3 linked regions of the Macaca mulatta genome follow. The protein of the gene in region 3 purifies or fractionates together with the protein of the main gene of each other region. This does not show direct contact. Links are inferred from orthologs where the notes say so. Each region holds a gene or a part of one and is shown on either strand. Other genes may lie near its edges.

The links.
Region 1: the proteins of COPRS (region 3) and WDR77 purify together in Homo sapiens (affinity purification with mass spectrometry; 3 studies listed by BioGRID and IntAct, with this or other methods). This does not show direct contact. The link is inferred for Macaca mulatta from reciprocal best matches to the Homo sapiens genes COPRS and WDR77.
Region 2: the proteins of COPRS (region 3) and HNRNPH1 purify together in Homo sapiens (co-immunoprecipitation; 3 studies listed by BioGRID and IntAct, with this or other methods). This does not show direct contact. The link is inferred for Macaca mulatta from reciprocal best matches to the Homo sapiens genes COPRS and HNRNPH1.

What each region holds. Positions count from the first base shown.
Region 1 is NC_133406.1:128,804,566-128,807,649, forward strand, and holds the end of WDR77 (methylosome protein WDR77), read left to right. Parts: intron 1-520; coding exon 521-629; intron 630-1,494; coding exon 1,495-1,563; intron 1,564-2,194; coding exon 2,195-2,354; coding exon of another isoform or gene 2,355-2,388; 3' UTR 2,389-2,564; downstream 2,565-3,084. UniProt on the Homo sapiens protein: Non-catalytic component of the methylosome complex, composed of PRMT5, WDR77 and CLNS1A, which modifies specific arginines to dimethylarginines in several spliceosomal Sm proteins and histones.
Region 2 is NC_133411.1:188,575,024-188,578,671, forward strand, and holds part of HNRNPH1 (heterogeneous nuclear ribonucleoprotein H), read right to left. Parts: coding exon 3,572-3,648; intron 3,488-3,571; coding exon 3,416-3,487; intron 3,360-3,415; coding exon 3,226-3,359; intron 3,074-3,225; coding exon 2,938-3,073; intron 2,532-2,937; coding exon 2,472-2,531; coding exon of another isoform or gene 2,442-2,471; intron 2,380-2,441; coding exon 2,290-2,379; intron 1,654-2,289; coding exon 1,561-1,653; intron 1,105-1,560; coding exon of another isoform or gene 1,055-1,104; intron 464-1,054; coding exon 345-463; 3' UTR 1-344. UniProt on the Homo sapiens protein: This protein is a component of the heterogeneous nuclear ribonucleoprotein (hnRNP) complexes which provide the substrate for the processing events that pre-mRNAs undergo before becoming functional, translatable mRNAs in the cytoplasm.
Region 3 is NC_133421.1:41,272,995-41,277,385, forward strand, and holds the start of COPRS (coordinator of PRMT5 and differentiation stimulator), read right to left. Parts: upstream 2,856-4,391; 5' UTR 2,759-2,855; coding exon 2,660-2,758; intron 2,522-2,659; exon of another isoform or gene 2,372-2,521; coding exon of another isoform or gene 2,309-2,371; intron 112-2,308; coding exon 45-111; intron 1-44. UniProt on the Homo sapiens protein: Histone-binding protein required for histone H4 methyltransferase activity of PRMT5.

The sequences.
Region 1 (3,084 bases), on a different chromosome or scaffold from region 3:
GGAGGAGGAAAGAGAAAGAGCTGACTCCACAATGCACAAGGCCCTTGCTGCTCAGTCTTAGCCCTCATGGACACTAGATGAATTATGAATTGAGGGTGGGGAGGTGGGGTGATGCCAAGGTAGTTTTAGTGTAGCTTTGGAGAACATGATTATTTTCCCAGTGGATTTGATTTTTGATTGATGGATCTAGCTCCTATATTCTGGGCATGGCTATAAGTCAGTGAGCCACAAAGCAAGTGGATTGCTATACAGCGAATTCTTTTCTACTGTGGGTAGGTGTAGAGCTATCGTGGTCATGAGGCTGTGTGTATGGTGACGTAGTTTGTGGTTAAAATAATAACTGCTTCATTCATTAACTTAATTTTCACAATCATCCAGTGACGACTTATCCCTGCTTTGCAAAAGAGATAACTGATGCTCAGAATGGTTAACTTTTCCAAGCTTAAGGAACTAGGATTCAAATCTTTGGCACCAAAGTCCATGCTCTTAATTACCATGACATGTCCCTTCTCTTCTACAGGTGATGAGAATGGGACAGTCTCCCTTGTGGATACCAAGAGTACAAGCTGTGTCCTGAGCTCAGCTGTACATTCCCAGTGTGTCACTGGGCTGGTGTTCTCCCCACACAGGTACTGTTCTTTGTCATCAGGGGCCTGATGGGTATAAATGGGAACAGTGGGGGGGTGTGTGTATGTTTTCAAAGCATTAGCTCATTAAGTAGTTCCTTAAAGCAGACAGTGTTCTAACTGAGGTTTTGGAACATCAGAGATCTCTTAAGTGGGAAGTGGAATCCTTTGGGAATCAAAGGATTTTTCAGATTATACGGTTTCTGTCTGAAATGGCTAAAATGTGGTCTCATTCCTGCTCAACACCCAACATGGTTCATATTGTGGGTTTCTGGGACTGTGAGGTTGGAAAAGCCTGTGTTTCTGGGTTATTGCTGAAGCTATAGAGAGGGACCAGATGGGGCGGTTAGTTACCAGGATGGTTGTCAACCCTAACTTTGCTTCATTTCCTTCATCTTTACTTGAAACTTTTAGTGTCAACTTAGAGTAGCCAGACCTTAGCCAAAAGTGGGAATCAGGCTGCCTTTTCTGGGTCACTTTACAGTAGCGGTGGCGCCAGCTCAGTTAAGGTTTTGTCTTGGGGCCGGGCGCGGTGGCTCACGCCTGTAATCCCAGCACTTTGGGAGGCCGAGGCGGGCGGATCACAAGGTCAGGAGATCGAGACCACGGTGAAACCCCGTCTCTACTAAAAATACAAAAAATTAGCCGGGCGCAGTTGTGGGCGCCTGTAGTCCCAGCTACTCGGGAGGCTGAGGCAGGAGAATGGCGTGAACCCGGGAGGCGGAGCTTGCAGTGAGCCGAGATCGCGCCACTGCACTCCAGCCTGGGCGACAGAGCGAGACTCCGTCTCAAAAAAAAAAAAAAAAAAAAAAGGTTTTGTCTTGGGATCCAGGCTTTGCCTTTCACAACCCTCTCCTCCCTCTGATAGTGTTCCCTTCCTGGCCTCTCTCAGTGAAGACTGCTCACTTGCTGTGCTGGACTCAAGCCTTTCTGAGGTGTAAGTGTGAAGTGGAATCCTTTGGGAATCAGGGAAGGGGAGCAGTGGGTGGGTGAGTCGTTTTCCTCTTCAGAAAAGTGTATTGTGCTTTTGGAGAACAGATTCTCCGTCTGTATCTGAAGGGACTTGGTAATGGAAGCAGGCTGGCTGTTGACCCTCTCCGTTCATGGGGCACATTCACAACCCCAAGGACAAAGCTGTGTCCTTGGTAGAGCGGGGTGGTAGGTGGAATTTTTAAGTCTAGCACTCCAGCCCTCTCCCACAAGGGGGCGGCAGTATATCCTTTCACATAGAGAACTGCATATGAAATGCAGTCTGCTACAGGGTAAAAGGCAGCACTTGGAAGACCTGAATTGTACTTCCCTCCTTGCCATGATTTGCTGCCTGTTACTGCCCCACATCACTGTCTTGTTCTATCCAGCATTTCTTCATCTATGAAAATAGAGGACTGGATTGGATGATTGATGACATCCACTGTGGATAGCTACACTGCTATCCTGGCGACGAGGCCATACAGTTGGTGAAATGTGTGTAACACACCCAAAAAATATGCCCCAGATGTGTTGGGTTCTCTTTTTTCTCCAGGTCTGCTTTTCTTGTCTCTACTATGCCCTGACTTTTTTTCTTCTAGGTTTAGAAGCCGAGCCCACAGAGACTTTGTGAGAGATGCAACTTGGTCCCCGCTCAATCACTCCCTGCTTACCACAGTGGGCTGGGACCATCAGGTCGTCCACCACATCGTGCCCACAGAACCTCTCCCAGCCCCTGGACCTGCGAGTGTTACTGAGTAGATTGGATTTAAGACACAAAGCAAGTCCCCCATGAGCGTCCACTTCTTTGCCCTACCCTCTCAGCTTGTGAGACAACACAGGAGCCTTCTGTAGTATGTTGATATGCTAGATCTGTGCCATTAAAAGGCATCATCCCTCAGCCTGAGGGAGGCTGAATTCTGGGTTCCTGTAGTCACAGGGAGGAAAAGCTTTCTTAAAAATGGACATGTATGTGCGTGTGACTGTGTGTGTAGATTTATAGTTTTTGGTAGTGGCAGGAATAAAACAATCCATCCTACATATTCCCTAAGCACTGCCTCTCCCTCACCCCCCAAAACAAGTTGATGAGAGGGTTTTATTCTTCCCATGTAGCTGTCTATGAGGAATTGGCTGTGTCTGGGTGGGTTATGGGATGTGGGCATCCCTGGGTTCTTGGAAGCAGCTCTTATGCTACTTATAGAGATGGGATTGATTTTATTTTTTTAAAGTGCTTAATTCACCATTACGAGAAATGCTTCCAGTCACAAAAATGCAGCCCAGCTCACTTTGAGGAAGAAGCAGGACTTGGTACGGATTTACATAACTCTTTGCCTTTAAACTGAATCAGAAATCCATTTTCTGGCTGAATAAAAAGTTTGGCTTGCCTTTATAATGCCCACTCCCTTCTCCCCGGCTCCCCAGTGATGGGGCATATATGAGAGAGGAGTGTTTTTCTATCATAGATGCCATAGGGGAAAGTTTGGGGATGAAG
Region 2 (3,648 bases), on a different chromosome or scaffold from region 3:
AAACAGTGTTCAATGTAACGTGGCAAAGGGCAACATTTAACATAATTCAACTGCTTTTACCTAAATACGCTTACTGCTTAAGTACATCCTATAACTAACTTGAGAAAAGCTGGAACTTAAGTTTAACAGTTATAGTTTACTCAGCTTCACTGTTACATCCTAGATTGAGTATTGTATTCAAAAATACTGGGCCTTAAGTCTTCATAACAATCCTGATTTCCACTTAGAGTAAGCATAAATCACAAGCTTGTATTGCAGAAACTGTTAAACTGAAGTTTTTTTTTCTTAAAAAAAAAAAAAAAAAAAAAAAGGTTGACCAAGAGTCAGTGATCAGGACAGATCAATTACATTCCCCATCCACCACTCATACTGGACATGCTAGACATCCCTCCCATTCCGTTCACGCCCATAGATGCACGGCTTCCACTACTGTAGTAGCTGCTGTTCATTGCTCCTTGGTTACCTGCAAAGAGATCAATTTGACAAGTTAGGAGTAATGTCAGACTACCAGTCAAATAAAATATAGTATTCCAAGAAAAAGTTTAAAAAGTATACGAGTACAAATGGCTGCTGTCCAAGTGGCGAGACGCATGTTTGGGAAAGGGGAATCCCGACTCCAAACAAGCCTCAATTAACCCCTTTTCTCTGCAGTACCAACTTGCCAGACTCTTGTGCTACCATTTTAACGGATTCTTCAGGATCAACATGAAAAATTAAGTTTAAAGGAAAACTAGTGTTTTTCAAAAATTGCAAAATTACTTCGTATTTTTAAAGCTAAACAAGGCATTTTTTAAAAAAATTTACCATAAACATTCACAATGTGTCCCTCGAATGGCATTTGAGAAAAGGGAGCACAGGGGAAGTCTCTTGCTTTTCCTATTCACGGTGGGCAGGAAGTGAGACAACCAAGGTGGACTAAAGGCAACTCACTGTGCCCAAATGGCAGCCTCCATGGAGTTAAGTCAGAGCCATTGACTGCTATAGAAAGTATTATTACAACATATCAGTATTTGCTATTGGGAATTTAAATTATATTTTTTGAGAAAATATTTACCTATGCAATGTTTGATTGAAAATCACTGGAGTTTTCCTGTAAAACTTGGTCTGCAAAAGGATTTTGTAGGGTAAGACTATAATACCAAAATCACCATTCTTTAGACCAATTGAAAAAAAATAAATAAAACCAATCCTAGGTTAACTAATAAATACGGTCCTGAACCCAACCACCATTCTACTATTCCAAATTCTCCCTCCATCTAAAATTGATGTACTGCTAACCAAAAGATAAAAAAGCGAACAACTTTATTTAATGTTTTAATAAATGGAGGCAGATATTTTCTGGCTCGACAGTATTCCAAAGTTGCAATGACTAGTTTTTTATTCACAGAACACTTCCCCCTCCCAATGATTGTTTCTGAAAATTAAGCTAGTAAAAAGTTACATTTGGATTGAAAGCATACATTTAATAACCCAATTTCACCAAAAAGGAGCCTGCACCTTCCCAACTAAAGAAACCTGCCTAAAACTTAATTCTAAGTATATTTAAAAAAACAGGCTTACCGTATCCACTCATGCTGCTCTGGCCACCATAGCCGCCTCCGTAACCTCCACTCAGCTGCTGGCTGGCTGGGCCACCGTAACTGGACTGGTTTGCTGTTAAGTTAAGAAAACTTTAGAACCTTGTTCCTTACATAATGTGGTACCTGGTGGTACCGGGCTTGTAATTCTATATCTATATTTTCCAGTCTTGATCTTATATTACTATAACCCTCTGCCTCCTTCTGCCTACTGTCTATAACCGGGCTACCCTTCTATCCATCATTTGAGCTACTCAAATATTTATAAACCAAAGTGCTAACGGTATATACATCAGCAGGACTAAAACCCACAAGATTCCCTAAGTAGAGGCATTTTGTGAAGATCTTATGAAACTGCCTGACTAGATTTAGTGGGGTTCCCCCTTAGATATATCAAAGGCACGTCAATACACCTAATTATGCCCACATTTATCTTAATCCTATTTTGCTATTTAAACTTTATACTCAGAAAATTTAAGTAGTTTCACTCCGTAGTCCCCTCCCCCAAGAGTACTTAAATCTAATTTGAATTATCTATCCTAAGGAACTTCATAACAAAGATTTAAGTAAGCCAGATACAAAATTCAAATATCAAGAAACTGCTTTCTTTGCCTAAGTTTGTTATGCTAAACTTATTAAATAGATTAACAACTTATAATTGACTTATACAGATATAAACGTTTTGGTTTTTAAAAAAACTAACGATATTTACACAAGCCCATGCCTCCCATCATTTGGCTACCATAAGCACCACCGCTTGCTCCTGCTGTAGAATTCAAGAAGAGTTCTACATATCTGTGTTCTGAAATGAGAGAAAAGGCATACAAGGTTAGCTTAAAAAAAAGACACTAAAGTGATATTTACACAAACCCATGCCTCCTAGCATTTGGCTACCGTAAGCACCACCGCTTGCTCCTGCTGTAGAATTCAAGAAGAGTTCTACATATCTGTGTTCTGAAATGAGAAAAAAAAAGTTTGAAAATGTTTGTTGGTGAAACACAACAGGATAAGCACTTTTATAAAGTTTTTAAACGAGCAGATCTGTGAACTTCAAATACCTTGGCAAAGAAAATTCTAGCTACTTCTCTTAGGTGATCTACTTTAACTCTAATATCTAGCCTTTACATATTCATCTATGTTGTCAATTAAGGATATAAACTTCAAGATGTGCGTATCACAAATCCGTTAGACTAATTTTTAAAACCCAAACCTTCTTCAACCCACTGCCCCCCATCCCCCAAGAATTAATCTATTACTGGAGAGGAAACTTCTCATATATCCTTATTTTTCCATTTCTCTATTGTAAATGTTAGTCACACAATCACCTGTTAAGAGCCCACAAACGCTCAATCACACTTACGCATATTTGCTTTGTCTTTTGACATAGCTGCCACGGCATCTTCATGAGTTGCAAACTCGACATCTGCTTCACCAGTTACTCTGCCATCAGGACCAATTTCAATGTGTACTCTCACAGGATTGAGTGGTGAAAAAAACTACAACACAAGGCATTTCAAAGAATTAAATCAACTTTCTAATGTTACAAAATAAAACTACAATTTCTAACACAGTGCTCACATTTATAGAGTAAGGCTCAGACTTTTACTGCCATACTGAAATAAGACTTGTGAGTTCATCCTACACTTACATTATAAATGTCATTCTCAGTAGCTCTGTAAGGTAATCCACGCATGTGTACACAGTGTCCTGTTGTGCTCTGGAAAGTAGAGCCACCATCCCCGTATCTGTGATCAGACATTCCTGAAAAACAGTAATTGAGGTCTAGATGGACAAGAGTGTAAGCATCCTTCAACTGAGAAATTCAATTCTTACCTTACCTCTTCCAAATCTATCTGACCCAAATCCATAGCCATCATTATAGCCATTGTAATCGTCATAGCCTCCATAGCCTGAAAGACAAAGTACAATCCATCAAACAAAACACCTAAACAAAGGAACAGACTACTTGCCAAACCCTGGGAATCCTCACGTACCTCCACCGTAAGCACCGCGCCTCATCCTCTCAAAGCCAGCTCCTCTGCCAATGCTGTTATACCCTCTGCCAGCCCCA
Region 3 (4,391 bases):
GTCCTTGGTCTCCCCAGCTTCCACCGTCTCTGCCATCTACTTGCCTAGTCGATCCATAGCCTTCTCAGTCTCCGTCTCCTGACTGGAGTGGTCAGCTGTAGCAAAGCCAGCCTGCAGGAAGAAGAAACGATTACCAAGGACTTGGGTATCTGGGGTATGCCCAGTATTCAGCTATTGCACCTCAACCCCACCCATTCTTCCATACTCCCCTTGGTGACGCAGGGCTGGGACTCTGCCACCCACATTTCTGCTTTGCCCTGTTAAACTGCGCAAGGCTGGAAGGAGACGGACTATTCCTTCCTATTCACGTTGGCATCACCTTATGACACTTCACCATGGCAGCAGGAATGCCTTCCTATAGCGGCCACAGAATCCAGTATACAGTTCTGCGAACTCTTGCAGAGCCAGCCTTATCCCTGCACCTTCTCTTTAGAGGTCTGGATCCCAGGACTCTCCTCCAAGCTCAGAGACCCCCTACATCAGCTGAGGCAGTGCCTCCTCCTTAAAGGTTGGAATTTCAGCTCTACAGAGCCTTTCCTCTAAGCTTTTAAATTTTAATCAACTTCATCTCTTTGTTCCTCCAGCCATAGGTTGGTAGCTCTTCCCTGCGGTTGCCACCCCCAGGTATACGTTTTACCTTTTCAGTTACTTAACAGCTTTATAGTTAGCAAACAACTCTATCGAATTCTGTTTCCTCACCGACACATTGAGGTGGGGGAAGCTTTATAGCTCCTCTGCAATGCTGAGCACTGAAGGCAGTATTTCTTTTTTTTTTTTTTTTTTTTTTTTGAGACGGAGTCTCGCTTTGCGCCCAGGCTGGAGTGCAGTGGCCGGATCTCAGCTCACTGCAAGCTCCGCCTCCCGGGTTTACGCCATTCTCCTGCCTCAGCCTCCCGAGTAGCTGGGACTACAGGCGCCCGCCACCTCGCCCGGCTAGTTTTTTGTATTTTTTTTAGTAGAGATGGGGTTTCACCGTGTTAGCCAGGATGGTCTCGATCTCCTGACCTCATGATCCGCCCGTCTCGGCCTCCCAAAGTGCTGGGATTACAGGCTTGAGCCACCGCGCCCGGCCTGAAGGCAGTATTTCTAATCTAACTGAAAATCTTCCCGCACGGCCAACCAAATGCTTCTCTGCTCCTATCACTCAGAAGTTCCTGAAACCCTATGACCTCCAAGACCTCTTTCTAATGAATCACGAAATCTTCCCTGCCTGCATAAAAAGACTTGATTTTGATCCCAGCTCTACCATCCATTTAGACTGTGACCTTGAACACATCACTTCAATTACCGTGCCTGAGTTTTCTTCTCCAGAAATTGGGGGTGACTGTTCTGACCCTGCAGGGGACTTATGATGAGATACCATTTATGAAAACACCTGCCATGTGGCAAGAATGTAACATTTCTTGAATTTAAATTCATCTTTTCTGCTACATCTAAACTGCACTTGGCACCTGCTCCAATCAGCATTCATTATCTAGTTATGTCTGGGTTTAATAATTCAATTCCACTCCCTTTAGTGACAACTTCTGATCACTGCCGCCCAAGGAGAATTCAGACCTCTCGCCTAAACCACTGCCACAGCCTCCTAACCACCTTCCCATCCAGCCATCTGGCCCAGCCTTACAGAATTAATCACTACTCTGCTCTAAATCTTCAACAGCCCTCCACTGAGGGAGCGCAAAATTAGCCATGGCATTCGCACGTCCCCACGTCCCCAACTCCCATCAACCTGTTGAGCATAGTTCTCTGCATGCTCTGAGACCCAACTCCAGGTCATGTGCCCTACACTTTCTCATCTCCACGCCTCTGCAGACACCACCAGCCTCTCACCTTGATCCTTTCCTGCTATGCCCAGACAAAATTAGTCCCATTCTATTCTGCACCACAAAGTAATTTTCTGTATAAGTGTCGCTGCATTTTTCATATCTTACTTTGGCTAAGTACCATCTTTGAGGCATCATTCATCCAGTCAGCATGTCTATCTCCTGTGCCAGGCACTATGCTAGGCTGGGCAAACAGCCCTAACAGAGGGTTCCTACCTCAGCACCTAGCCGGTACTGACAGTAAACAAGGGCAGGTAATGACTGTAATAACGGTCTGTAACGTTCTCGAGAAAACCGGGTGCTGTTTAGCGTACATGAAAACAAGTTTCTGGAAACCCTGCGTCCAAACAGGGCCTTTTTGGTTTCAATAAGAAGGGGGAGTGCGCATGTGACATCATCTGGGGTTCAGGGTTAGCGGGCATCCCCACCAACGCACAGAGGTCCACAGGTCTGTTAAGTCAAGTCCCTCTCCTCGCCGCTCTCACCTGGCCCTCGCCCAGGCTTCTGGCAGCGGGCCCCGGCTCTCGGTCACCAGCGTCACCTCCCATTTACCAAATTCGCAGCGGCGCCCAGCGAGCGGACGGCCTTCCCCACTGACCCGGCGCGCCCACCCACGCCCTCGGCGTTCCCCGCCCCGCAGCCCCGCAGCCCCGCGGCCCCTCGGCCTGGCAGTTTTGAGCTCGAGCGCGAGGCCAAACAGCGCTCCAGGTCGCGGGGCGGCCCGAGGCCGGCCAGAGGCGCTTCCCCGGCCCCGCGGCCCCCGCCCAGCCCGGCCCCGCGACTTCCCGCCCCAGGATGCGGCTGGTTGTTGCTCCCGGCCCCCACGCGGCGCTTACCTCCGGGCTGGGGGGCGCCTCCTGCGCGCTAGGCAGCGGCGGGCCCCGAGACGGCTCCGCGGCCCGCCGTGCCTGGGCCCTGGCGGCCTGAGGGTCCATGCCCGGCTGCCCGCGGCTCGGCGCCCTGGACGCCGTGGGCCACGTGACGCGCGCCTGTCGGCCGCCAGCCCGAGGATCCGCCGCCTAGGGGCCAATCAGCCTGGGGAGGGTCCCGGCCAAGAGGGCGGGGCGCCGGGGTGTCACGAGGAAGCGGAGGCGGGGCGGCGCAGGGGGTGGGGCGTGCGGCCTCGCGGAGCCCGCCCCTGCCTGCCAGCGCGAAATCTGAAACAATCTTGGGGACTGATTTTGGTGCAGATCCCAAGCCTGGACGACTAGCTGGGTGTGAAACGCCAAGCGTACCCTACGCAGCCACTCGGGGTGTGCTCCAGCTTCAAAACCCCGCGTGGGTAAGACACATCAGCAACTTAGTGACCTCCACCTTGAGATAATGATCGTCTTTGAAGATAATCCATTAGAGAAACCAGGATAAGACACAAACTGCAATGTGCGGTGGACACAGAATAGAGGCCACGACGCTTACTCATAATAATCCTGAACATTCGGGTTCCTGTATTTCCATGCTCAACGCCTGATACTCAGCAACCTAATTATTTCCCATTTTGCCTCGAAAGGTGGCTTCTGGGGATAGGCAGGGCCTGAGCTGGGAACCACCCAATTGGAAAGACAGCCTTCCCTGCCTTCCCCACAGTGCCTAACCTCTAGTAACAAACCAGCTCAAGGCGTGCTAATCACGTCAACATCAGGACATGAGACCCTCTTCCTTCATCCCCCTCAAAGACTGTGTTGTTTGTACAACACAAAAGGCATTTGAAAAAATTTAGCATAAAACTGACACACAATATTCGATATTATTTTTCTCTCTGTAGATGTTCCTACGCAGGAGTCAGTATCCCCAAGGCTAACTGCCTCTAGGTCAGCAGTGTCCAATAGAACCTTCGTTAATGGGCCGGGCGCGGTGGCTCAAGCCTGTAATCCCAGCACTTCGGGAGGCCGAGACGGGCGGATCATGAGGTCAGGAGATCGAGACCATCCTGGCTAACATGGTGAAACCCCGTCTCTACTAAAAAATATTTTTAAAAAAACCTAGCCGGGCGAGGTGGCGGGCGTCTGTAGTCCCAGCTACTCGGGAGGCTGAGGCAGGAGAATGGCGTGAACCCGGGAGGCGGAGCTTGCAGTGAGCTGAGATCCGGCCACTGCACTCCAGTCTGGGCAACAAAAGCGAGACTCTGTCTCAACAACAACAACAAAAAAGAACCTTCGTTAATGGTGAAAAGTTCTACTATCTGTGCTGTCCAATATAGTAACCATATACCTACTGAGCACTTAAAATGTGGCCAATATGAATAAATTGAATAATTCTAATAAATTTAAATTGCTACATCTGCCTAGGAGCTACTGTTTCTAACAGTGCAACTCTAGGTGTACTAGCTAGATGCGTTTTCATAACCTGCAATAGTGAGAATCAGATACAGGGGACGTGATGAGCCCAGGTGACCACTTTTATATAGCTTTGTGTTAAGGAGACTACCACTATCCTCTTTGCTCCCTACTCTATTTACAACACATATCTCTTTTGTAAAATTAAAGTGCCAAATAAGATTTAGAAGGTTAAACATCCCAGGACTTAAGGGACAGGAAAAAGAGGAATTTTTTTCTTATTTTAAAACAAATG